Oryzias latipes: one gene and its partners. The protein of the gene in region 3 interacts with the protein of the main gene of each other region in a biochemical or structural test. Links are inferred from orthologs where the notes say so. Each region holds a gene or a part of one and is shown on either strand. Other genes may lie near its edges. The genes, in order: sumo1, ube2w and rnf4.

Evidence for each region.
Region 1: the proteins of rnf4 (region 3) and sumo1 form a complex in vitro, tested with the Homo sapiens proteins (5 studies listed by BioGRID, with this or other methods). The link is inferred for Oryzias latipes from reciprocal best matches to the Homo sapiens genes RNF4 and SUMO1.
Region 2: the proteins of rnf4 (region 3) and ube2w form a complex in vitro, tested with the Homo sapiens proteins (2 studies listed by BioGRID). The link is inferred for Oryzias latipes from reciprocal best matches to the Homo sapiens genes RNF4 and UBE2W.

Annotation. Positions count from the first base shown.
Region 1 is NC_019860.2:9,899,634-9,903,478, forward strand, and holds sumo1 (small ubiquitin-related modifier 1), read right to left. Parts: upstream 2,481-3,845; 5' UTR 2,460-2,480; coding exon 2,448-2,459; intron 2,074-2,447; coding exon 1,999-2,073; intron 1,747-1,998; coding exon 1,669-1,746; intron 857-1,668; coding exon 785-856; intron 709-784; coding exon 640-708; 3' UTR 619-639; downstream 1-618. UniProt on the Homo sapiens protein: Ubiquitin-like protein that can be covalently attached to proteins as a monomer or a lysine-linked polymer.
Region 2 is NC_019878.2:16,094,912-16,098,470, reverse strand, and holds the end of ube2w (ubiquitin-conjugating enzyme E2 W), read right to left. Parts: intron 3,131-3,559; coding exon 2,975-3,130; intron 2,889-2,974; coding exon 2,813-2,888; intron 2,729-2,812; coding exon 2,715-2,728; 3' UTR 507-2,714; downstream 1-506. UniProt on the Homo sapiens protein: Accepts ubiquitin from the E1 complex and catalyzes its covalent attachment to other proteins.
Region 3 is NC_019868.2:3,826,199-3,830,325, forward strand, and holds the start of rnf4 (E3 ubiquitin-protein ligase RNF4), read right to left. Parts: upstream 2,819-4,127; 5' UTR 2,615-2,818; intron 1,886-2,614; 5' UTR 1,823-1,885; coding exon 1,811-1,822; intron 1,507-1,810; coding exon 1,341-1,506; intron 1,007-1,340; coding exon 924-1,006; intron 828-923; coding exon 815-827; intron 744-814; coding exon 629-743; intron 328-628; coding exon 276-327; intron 1-275. UniProt on the Homo sapiens protein: E3 ubiquitin-protein ligase which binds polysumoylated chains covalently attached to proteins and mediates 'Lys-6'-, 'Lys-11'-, 'Lys-48'- and 'Lys-63'-linked polyubiquitination of those substrates and their subsequent targeting to the proteasome for degradation.

The DNA of each region.
Region 1 (3,845 bases), on a different chromosome or scaffold from region 3:
GTTCTGCTTTATTGATCCAACACTCGACTTGGCGACCCGGAGAAAAGAAGGACCCAACCTCATCTGAGAGTGGAATAGATCAACAGGAAATGGACCTGCTCCCTCGTTTAGCCCCGCCCCCCTTCATTTGGACAGACGCTTTGGTCCGTTCCAGGAAAACAACTTTTTTTGTTTTGAATAGATGGAAAGATCAGAAGCATGCCGCTCTGGTATGCTTCTGATCGGTTTCTTTTTACGGTTTCTGTAACCGCACTTACCCAGAATGCCATCTGACATATTTCCTCTATGAGACAATTTTAAAAAACATTTTGGGGAGGAAGAAGCTCCTAAAAACCATTTTCCTGCAAAAGCACATCATTCCAGCAAGGTTGATAAAATAAAAATTTAAAACACGAAAGCGAAATGGTTGCCGGTAAAAATCTTAGAGTGTCCTCCGACGGCAGAGCCACAGGTTCGAGTCCTCGGTCTGTCCGCCTCCCCGACCGCACACATGGAAGCCCTGATTGAGTCCTTTTGCTTTTTTGATTCAGATGGTTTGAAACTTAACAGAAATACATACATACATACAAAACCAAATGATAAAAAACATGAATAAAAGGGGAAAAAAAAGAAGAAAAAAAAACATCAGAAATTGTGGCTTTAATGATTCCAAAGTCCGCCGGTCTGTTCTTGATAAACTTCGATGACGTCCTCATCCTCCATGCCCAGCTATAAAAAAACAGAAGAAAACACAAACCTTAGTGACCACTAGTGCTTGGTTTTCGCTCTTGCGAGTGTCGCTTACCTCTTTTGGGGTTTGGTTATCTGCGATTCTCTGTCCCTCAAAAAGAAACCGTAGCGTGCTCGCCAGGACTCCCTGAAAGAAACGTCATCCTCTGCTGTTAGACCATTAGGAGATTTTTATTTTTCCTTCAATCAGCTCTCCTTGAACGCCGCCGCGAGGCGCTAGGAGCACGAGTAACGATTACATAGACGAGCTTTTAGGTGTAACCCTTATGCTATCTTAGATGACCCCACCCTTACATTGACGTGTTCTCCCTACCATGACAAAAGTGGAAAGATTTCATGTAATCCATGGACACCAGTGAAGATCACAAATCATTGAAGAAGAAAGGTTAAGCGCACTGTCTAGTGGGTCTAGATGACCCAACTCCTAATGTTAAAGGGCCTAGGATAGCACAAGGGTTAAAGAAAATTAAGCTTAAAATTACATTTAAAATTGGGTTATTTTTTTTTTATATTTAAAATCGTTGTGAATCAGGAGCAGACAAAATTAAACTTAGTTGGAAAAAGGTTGCAGGTATGATTCCAAAGCTACTACGGCAAGCCACAAGGCTCCCTTGCAGACAAATAGACTCGTGTAACTTTTTTTTATTTTCCTCGTCCGAGCATCCGGATCCAAACTGTGCAGCTGGATAGCTCCGATATTGCTCGCCATTTTTGTTGCACTGCTAATATTAGCTTGGGAGTCTTAGTAAGCTAGCGGGAGAGCGTGTCAAAAAAATAAATAAAAATCACTAGGAACTTTTTATTTTTTGCAATAGATCAAAAGATGATCAGAGTTATCTTTTTTTTAAATAATGGCGTGTTCTACCATAAGGAACTGCATTTGGATGGATCTGCGAAGGCTGTCATTGGAAAAGTGGCGATGCGTCTTCCTCTTCATACCTGTCTCTGGCTGTAAGACTCTTTCAGCTTCTTTAGATGTGTGGTCATTTTCACCTTGAAGTGGATTTCACTGCTGTCCTGTGGGCAGAAACGGACACACACAAAAAGGTGATGCAGCTCAAAAACAATAACAACTTCCAGCATTAAAACGAATACATCTGTAAATGATAAAGAATTGGCAGAATCATTGACCAAAAATAATAGCCTTCTATAAACAATAATAGAGACACCACCACGTGCCATAACTTTATTTGAAATGGAGTAGAATACGGTTTATTTCTAAATGCAGACAGTAGTGACAACAAAAGCAGAGACACAAAAACAACCTACCTGACCGATCACTTTTAGTTTGATGTACTCTCCATCTTTCTTGTCGCCTCCGTCCTGATTGGAAGGTTTCGTCTCCTGACAGAAACATCACAAAACATTGCTACATGATGCGACCGCTAGCACGCTTTCGAGGAAGGCCCGTCTGTTTACTCCGCGGGTTCCACGAACACAGAGAACATCCACCATAGACACGAGTGTGGGTTCGGTCCCGCCAGCACCAGTTCTGACCCCCCCCCCAAAAAAAAATCTCAAAAAACTACACAAAAGCTCACGTGGAGGGTAAAAAAAAATCGCTAAGTTCAGTCAGAGGCCTGCAGCTAGAACAGCTAACGGTTAGCATGTTGTTAGATAATCACGTACGAGGCAGCGTCCATAACAAACACATTATCGATTTCTTAGTAAAGTGTTGACAGAAAATCATTCGAACTCTTCAACGTTCTTTTTCTTACCGTGTCTGACATGTTTATCCTGACTGTGTGCGGGAGGGGGAGGGAATCCCTTCAAGGTGTAGCGTTAGCTTTTAGCGGTGGCTCTTGCTTTATGTTGTGAGGAATGCGACATCAAACGGAAGTGACGCAGGGCTGTTCAAAATAAAAGTCGCGTGAAGGAATTTGTTTTGTAGCGGATTGTCTCCATAAGAAAAGCGCGCGCGCGCACACACACACACACACTCATACAAAAACCTTGCCTTTTCCAGTATTATGAAGTCTTTACTCCTGTTCAATATTCAAATGCAATATATATGTTTAGATTAAATTTATATATTTTTAACATGGGCTTAAAAAATAGCATTTTATGATAATTTAATAAATAACTATATATATATAGAGAGAGAGAGAGAGAGAGAGAGAGAGAGAGAGAGAGAGAGAGAGAGAGAGAGAGAGAGAGAGAGAGAGAGAGGATGAAACAGTCGACAGCCGACAGTGTGCTCAGTGAATGTCTCAGGCAATGGAGAGCAGAGGATACAGTGCTGGAGGACAGATCCTCATGGGAAGACAAACCCCTGCATGGGACGTACCACCGGACCATAACTGAAGTGGCTGATATCAAGAAGTCCTACCAATGGCTAGAGAGGGCTGGCCTACAGGACAGCACTGATGCGCTCCTCCTGGCAGCTCAGGAACAAGCCCTGAGCACCAGAGCAATAGAGGCTCAGATCTACCACACCAGACAAGACCCAAGGTGTAGGCTGTGCAAATAAGCGCCTGAAACAATCCAGCACATAACTGCAGGGTGTAAGATGCTGGCAGGGAAAGCATACATGGAGCACCACAATCAAGCAGCTGGAATAATATACAGGAACATGTGTGCAGAATATGGACTGGAAACCCCAAGGTCAAAATGGGAAACACCTCCGAAGGTGGTAGAGAATGAGAGGGCAAAAATCCTGTGGGACTTCCAGATCCAGACTGATAGGATGGTAATGGCGAACCAACCAGACATTGTAGTGGTGGATAAAGAACAGAGGAAAGCCGTTGTGGTGGATGTGGCAGTGCCAAGCGATGGGAACATCAGGAAGAAGGAACATGAGAAACTGGAGAAATACCAGGGACTCAGAGAAGAACTGGAGAAAGCATGGAAAGTGAATGTGACAGTGGTGCCTGTGGTAATTGGAGCACTCGGGGCAGTAACCCCCAAGCTGGAGGAGTGGCTACAACAGATCCCTGGAAAGACCTCAGACCTCTCAGTCCAGAAAAGCGCAGTGCTAGGAACAGCTAAGATACTGCAGGACCCTCAAGCTCCCAGGCCTCTGGTAGAGGACCCGAGCTTGGAGGAGAAACCACCCGCGGAGGGTGAGAGAGGCGTTTTTTAAATGTATATATAGTTTTCGTGTTTGTTTTTATATT
Region 2 (3,559 bases), on a different chromosome or scaffold from region 3:
AAAAACAAGTGCAAAGCAACCTGAATCTTTAATTTACACAGATGTGATTCATTGTGCTCACGATTACCATTGAATGTTTTTTTCTCCTAAGAACTATGAATGAAAAAATTAAAATGTGAAACATTTTAATTTGGGGAAAAAAGAACAGCACATCATAAGGACATTTGTATTTGTAAAGCCATTTTATGTTGTAGAAAATATCTCATTTATTAAGGTTCTTTTGGAGTATCACAGGTTAAAACAACTCTAAAACAACCTAAAGGGGGGGGGGGGGGGGGGTGAATGAGGCTGTTGTAAATATTCACTATTGTACAAAGGGATTATGACTGATTGATTGTTGGGAGTTTTGGTTGAAAGCGGCCGAAAGCTGACAGACAACAAAAACAAGGCACTCTGTACTCTGGGAAAATTTTTGATGCATCTTCCAAGAATCACTGTCAAAGGATTTGACCCAATTTTGGAAAAAACAAAAAAAAGAATTACAGAAGACACAAAAGACACTGTCATGTTTTGGTGCAAACCAAATGTTGAATAAAAGTGAATCTTTGCTTTTATTGATTATGAAAATGAACAGGCACCTATTACATGGAGCTTGCACATCCCAAAATAACATTTTAAATATAAATAACTCACCCTCATTAGTGTTTTCACTCATAAGAGTCTGCAAGCTAAGAGTCCAAACCCACATTGAAAACAACAAATTAAATAAAAAAAAGGGGGTAGCATTGTTTTAAAAATAAAAATAAAGAAATCACATCCAAACCCTTGTAACATAATCACTCCCAACAGATGAAGATGTCCTTTGATCTACTGCTTGTTGCACGAATGCTTTCATGACTGCATTTACACATTGGACAACACCCACTGCAGAAAAGCAAAGAAAAAAAAATTCAAGAGTCTTTAAGTTATCTATATAATTTCTAGAACAATGTGTGCTGTTTTAACTGCTTGTACAATAAAGATTATAGTCACATTCACTCTAGTTCAATCAAGGAAGAACACCAGGCGACGGGAGGAAAAAAGTAGGCATAAATACAAAAAAATAGAAGGAAAATTCAAGTATCTCCGACTGGATGGTGATAAACATTTGCTTGAGGAATGGAGTGATTACAGCCTGAATTGACCAAATCCTCTGGTTGGAAGTGTAGTAATACCCCCCCAACGACTCATCTACTTTCTGGAAAGTCTAGTGTCAAAATCAGAATATCAAAACTGCATGCGCCCCTATAGTACAAGTTTATCGCTGACTGTACGCAGCAAAAAATGTAGTGAAAGATGTCGATGTCGACTAATTTTCAGTAAAATAAGCACTCATCTCATCCCTCAGCTAGGAAGTTAATGTACCATCTGCCAAACCTTTTCACATCATCCAATAGTTCTAAAGCATACAAGAGTTTTAGACATGTTATAAGTTTACAGCATAACAGTCTCTTTTGGTGCAAATATAGTTTAATTCAAAATATACGATAGTTTTCTCTCTTTTTTTTGTTGTTTTTTTTTAGAGGTGATCTCTTTATTGAAAAAGTACCTGAGTCACAACTCTGACCAGGAGGGGAAGAAAAAAAAAAAAAAAGAAAAAAAAATCACAAATGCCTTCTCTATACAACTCCAACAAAGCCTCATTTTATCATTCACTGCTGCACTGGAGATCAAATGAGGATTTCAATTAAGTAACAATTAGGAAAGAAATAAAAAAAAAACAAGAACCCTCAATTGTTACTATAATCCCCCATTTAAAGTATCGGCTAAGGGCAAAACAAGAATACAAAAAAAAACATACACTTAAAATCAAATAGTTTAGAGGAAGAAAAAATTAAAGCCTATATTTAAAAAAAGTATTGTACAAATTAAAAAACAAAAAAGAATCCTGCAACAATGTTTCCCTACAGACATTCTTTAAATGGAAGATAAGCTGCTGCACATCTTGAAGGCTGGACTACTGACAACTACCCCGAACCACGAGTGGAGATGTACAGTGAGGTCATTAAATAACTTTAGATCTAATATCACTTTAGTTCCATCTGTAGCAACAACAGCAGGAAGAACTGCCATCAGGTGTCAAGGTGGAAACTGTTTGTACTTTGAAACTAAAAGCCTTAAACCTGATAAATAGGTGGAGGATTTCTTACAGTACATCTGCAAGTTGGGGGGATAAATGTGCACAGGTTCTTTGAAACTAAATCATTTCACAGTGCATAACAATGATAGTGAAAGGAGAAAAAAAACTAAACGGATGATGCATTTTCTTGGGGTTTTGATGGTTAGACTCCTTCAAGATGATGACTGGATTTGGATTTTTGTCTTTGTAGGCCCAAGCATGCATCCATCAGTTATTATTGCACGACACAAAACCCTAAAATGCACCTAAATACAAACGGAAAAAAAAGTAACAATAATCTTAAAACAGGAATTATAATTAGCTCACCACAACTCTTCCTTTCCTGCTCGCTGCACTGTGGCTGTCTCGCCACAAACCATATTGTGTGGGTGCATCCAAATGTTCATTTACTTCCACTTTCTATGTTACAGCAAACTAAAAACATGCAGCCGACTGTCCACGGTGGGGGGTGGGGTGGGGTGGGGGGGATAGGCAGTCCTGCGCTTGGTTTCCAATGTTCCAGTCACAAGTCAGAGTTCAAAGACTGAAGGATTAAAAAGTGCTTCATGTAGGTCAGTAGGGCTGCGTCTTCTACCATTAATAGAAAGTTTGTACATTAGCAAGTATCATCTGTGGAGGGAAAAGTACAAGAAAGCCAGTTTAAAATTGATAAAAAAAAATTTATAATCAAAAAAGTAGTGACAAAGTACTCACCATGATACCACCATTTTGTTTTCTTTGGATTTTTGTTACACGTTCTTACATAAAAAGAGTTATCTGGTGGCCGTCTCTGCCAAAAAAATAAAAATAGATAAATAAAAATGTCCAAGAGGTGAAGAACAGGAAGAACAGGAACTTCTGCGTTCAACTACTTACCTTTTCTTTGCAGCTGGACAACATGCTGATAATGCTAAGACAAACAGATTGCACTGAGAGCGCTGGTGACCAATCTTCTGTCAGAATAGATAAACAGATGTGACCGTTGCTATACACATGCGGATGAACAGGTATATTCTCCCCTGTGAACATCACCTGCGCAGAGGAAAGACAGGTTACAGTACTCAAAGTTATAAGTGACAAACAAAGATGAACGCAGTTTTTCCTAACTTAATACGGAATGAAGGCCTGTTCACGATCAAACAAGTAAAGTAAGGAAAAGTTATTTTTTCTTACTTTAGTTTAAAAAAACTCGATTATTATTACAACTACTTTCTGGAGAAACATTAGGCTATAGGATTAAGTTCAAGAGATCAGCTGTTCATATAAAAGGTCAGTAAAGGAGGCAGAAAGATTATAATGCAGTGAAAATATGGCAAAGAGTTTCCTCATTCCAGCTGCTTCTACTCACTGTTTACATTATGGTTTATGCTGCTAAAAATAAGAGCTTTTCTTTGTTTTGTACGATTGATTCGATATGGGAAGACTGTACTTTTAGCCTTCTTACGTTATTACTGATTTGTA
Region 3 (4,127 bases):
GAACTGGTTCTGGACTCGGGAGTCAGAAGGTTCTGAGAAACACTTTTATGAGCCAAGCTGCTGTTCTCACAGCATCAAGAGGAACAAAGTTAGGAAGAGAATAGATTGCTTTCACAGGTGGACAGCTGTCTGCATTTCTGCTGTTTTTCTAAACGTTACCTTTCCATGAGACAAAGGTTCTCTTTAGATGCCGAGTTTTTAGTTCTTTAAACGGGTTCTGGTTCAGACTTCAAAGGCAGGTTCGTTCATGCCTCTCACCCGTGCATTTCTCTTACCTCAGAGTACAGATCCAGACAGACCGGACAGCTGATCAGGCCTGGCGTCGACCTGAAACCCAACAAGAACCCAGTGACTTTTACTTCAAGAACCTGAGGAGCTTTGCTGCTTTCTGTCCTGGTTCTGCAGAACCATGAGCCCTACTCAAACTGATGTGAGTCCGTCTGTGTTCTCCACCCTCCTGTTTTGAGTTCACACTCCGCTCATCCCTTTCTAAATATCACCACAACATTTACTGTGACCTCTATGGATTCGGGGGAGCTTTGGTGTGCACGCTCCCCCGTCGAGCGTGCACACCGGGACGCTCCCAACTCCCCTGAACTAAACGCAGGCGCAGAGTTCGGTTCTTCACCTTGATGCATGTGCGGCCGCCGCGGTGGCGGCGCTGCTGAAAAGGGGCGTGTCCTCATCTTCATCACTGCTCAGGACGTAGCTCTCACCTGCAGGGACTGTGCTGCTCTGAGGATCTAACACAAACAGAAGGTCAGGTGACCCTCAGATGACCTGGTGACACACACTGAGGTCCAGGAGGACTTACCCTCATCCACCAGCTGGAGCGCAGAGACAAGAACAAGAGAAGAACATCAGCTTACAGCCCGTTTCCACAGCCCCCCCCAAAGTGAATGATGAATGACAGAGCGTGTTACCAGCACAGAGTCGTTGTTGTTGGTCAGGTCCACCACAGCAGCTTCTGCTCCCTCACAGGTAAGGTCCACCACCTCCTCCACACCTGCACACACCAGCCGTCGGTTACAAACACCTGAGGACAGCGAGGCCGTCAGAACCTCCAGGCAGCACTACAACCACCTGCTTTGATCCCTGAGGAGAAGCTGCTGCTGTGTTTGGGTCTAGAGGTCAGACTGAATCTTCCTCAAAAGAAAAGCTTCTGCTGGAAGCGTCTCCAGACCATGACACTTCCACTGCCGTGCTACAGGATGAAGACAGAGCCAGCTGAAGCTTACAGCAGACCCGTGCTCTCAGAGCAGAGGTTTAAAATGAGCCTAAACCCCATTTCCAAGTGAATCCTGGGGAAAAAAAAGGCTCCCGGAGGCTGACACACTGACCGTCGTCCGTGTTGTCCATCACGTCGATGGTCTCGGCAGGGGGAGCGGAGTCTGCACCGGTATGAGTCCCCCGGTTGACCGCTCTCCTGGATTGAGCAACTCTGCTGGTCTTGATGCTGGGCCTGGAGACCCGAGGACTTTCGGTGGGCCTTCTCTTCCTCTGGGCCTGAAAACACATGAACACGCAGGGCCTCAACCACCTCAGGTGAGCTCAAAGGCTGACCTGACACCTGGGAGTCAGGTTCACAACAGTCACAGTGAGCATCACTGAAGCAAGGAAAGCTGCTGCCAGTTTTCAGTGTGGTCAGAATGAAGCTCCACCCACTGCTCCACAGAAGCTTTAGGTGGAAACTGCTGACTGCAGCTCAGAGCAGCTTCCACAGAAACTGCTTTTTTCCAGATGATGATGGAGGAAAGCAGACGTTCCTTTATCATTACAGGGCGTGATGAAGAGAGGCATGCAGACGTACAGAGCTACTCATGTCCGTCCAGGAGCTGCGGGCGGCCGGGCCTTCGGAAGCTGCGGGGGGCCGGGCCTTCGGGAGCTGCAGGGACCCAGAGGAAGGGTTAAGGTTAGGATTAAACCCCCAAATGGTTCCTGAGCACTGCTGTTTCTGCAACTCGCCGCTCCTCCAGAGGATGGATCAAAAGAAGGTATCTATTTTTATAAATAGATTACTAAAACTGTCCCATTTCAAACTGTCGCGACTGCTTTTCAAACGTCGGGAGAGTTTCTTCTGTTGTCATCTGTGAGGGACTAGAAATGTTTGGTCAGACAAGGAGGATTAGGGGTGGATTATGTCAGACTTTTGTATGATAGAAAGATATACAAAGAGAATGTCAGGCATGGCCCATTGAAACATTTTGTTAAAATGCATTAATCTCCATTGGTTTAAAACATGTACTCTACAATCACAGAAGAAAGACGTTTGATCTTCCACCGCGCCACGAAAAAAGCTCCATCCAGCACCAGCAGTGTTTCCCTGTCCTCAGCTTCTGTTTTGTGCCTACACGCTTTCCGTAGCAGGTACAATTGGTCATTTGTCCTCAGTTATATGATTTATTCATCTGCTTTTTATATCAAAAAACTATTTCATAACGTCTCATTCGAACAAGCTAACAAGAACACACGTGCAGAGTGATTGGAGCAGTTATTCAACCACCGCTGGCTGCAGTTAGAACTGACGTACAGAGTCACGTGAGGAGCCGGTTTCCAAAGTAAACCATTTCTGTCACAACACCAGCATTTCGGTGATCTCTTTCTCGACTCTTACCGTTTGATGTTGCTGTCGTTTGCTGCTTGGCGCCTTTTCGGCCTCTTATTTTACTCCAAAAGTGTTATCCGAAGAACTGAGTCTGGTAGAGGCTATACACGCTGTCTGGACCGAGTCAGAACCGAACTCAGGACCACTGACACCATCTGGGAGAACAGTGGAGTGTGGGCCTCTATCTACTTCCGGTCTGCGGGCTCTTCTTCTGCAGCTGCGTCTGATCTGAAAGCTGCAGCGCCACCGTGTGGACAGGTCACCTTGTGTTTACCAAAATAAAACACTCAAAGGAAAATGGTGTTTTGAGTTTTTGACATATTTTTGCGGCATTTTTTTTCATCATGGGGCAAATGAACATATATAAAAAAAACTAAGAATAAAAAAGCATTTCTAGGCATTTTTTTTCCAAATCGTGGTGAATCAAGAGCAGATTTTATCCTTAGTTTTAGAAATGTAAATTTAAAAAAAAAAAAAATAATTAAAGATATCTTTTTAATTTAGCATTTACAAAACGTCTTTTACTTTTTTATTTGGCCTTTGAGTATTTTTTGATTTATCACTTATACATTTTTACCCTATTATTCTAGACGGTACCTTCTCAAACCATCAGCCGTACCGGTTTGACCATTTTATAATCATCTTCTGATGTTTTTAGTCTTTGATGTGTCATGATTTTTTTCTTTCATCCTATGATTGTGTCTTTTATGTTTAGTACCTTGGATTCTACCCTTGCTCCTTGATAGTTAGGTGCTCTGTAAATACATTAATGGAAAAATATATTTTTGTTTTGTATTTTGTTTTTAATAGCTTTTCCCCCTCTGTCAGTTTATCATATATAAACTAAACTCTGCTGAGATCCTGTTTCTGTCCTTTCCTGGTTCCTGTCTGAGCTCAGCGTGAACGTTGAAGACGTGTCTCGTTAACATCCTGCTGTGCATGCGTAGAAGGACCAAAAATCATGTCTTAGTCACTGCAAAACACTGAAGAAACTCGCTTCAGCTGTGTTCACACAGCAGGGACCCTAGTGGGCAGAGGACCAGAGTCTGAAAAAAAAGAACTTAGTTACATCAGAACAAAGAGTTTGGTTAGACTGTCTCATCTCTATCTCAGAACCTGCAGCTGCACCAATGTAAACGTCTGTGGAGCCATCAAGGGTCTACAACATGTGTCAAACTCAAGGCCCACCATGTCATTTTCTGTGGCCCGCCAGAGCATAAAAGCTTTTAATTTCTTAAAATAAAAGTTGGTGTGTATTTATTCATATCTAGGGGGAATCTGACTTGAAATATCAGATTGGGGAACTAAACATTAGGACTTAAACACTGTCTATATAACCTAACCTGACAGAATCAATTGTTAAAGGATTTATGCTAGAATAACAAGCAAACATATGTTTTCTATGCAACTGGAATTGTCACTTTAAAAACTTATAATAAATAAATATATTTAACATTAAGGAGTAGTTACATTAATTTTTCATTACATTTAGTTACATGTATAAGTTATATCTGGCCCTTTG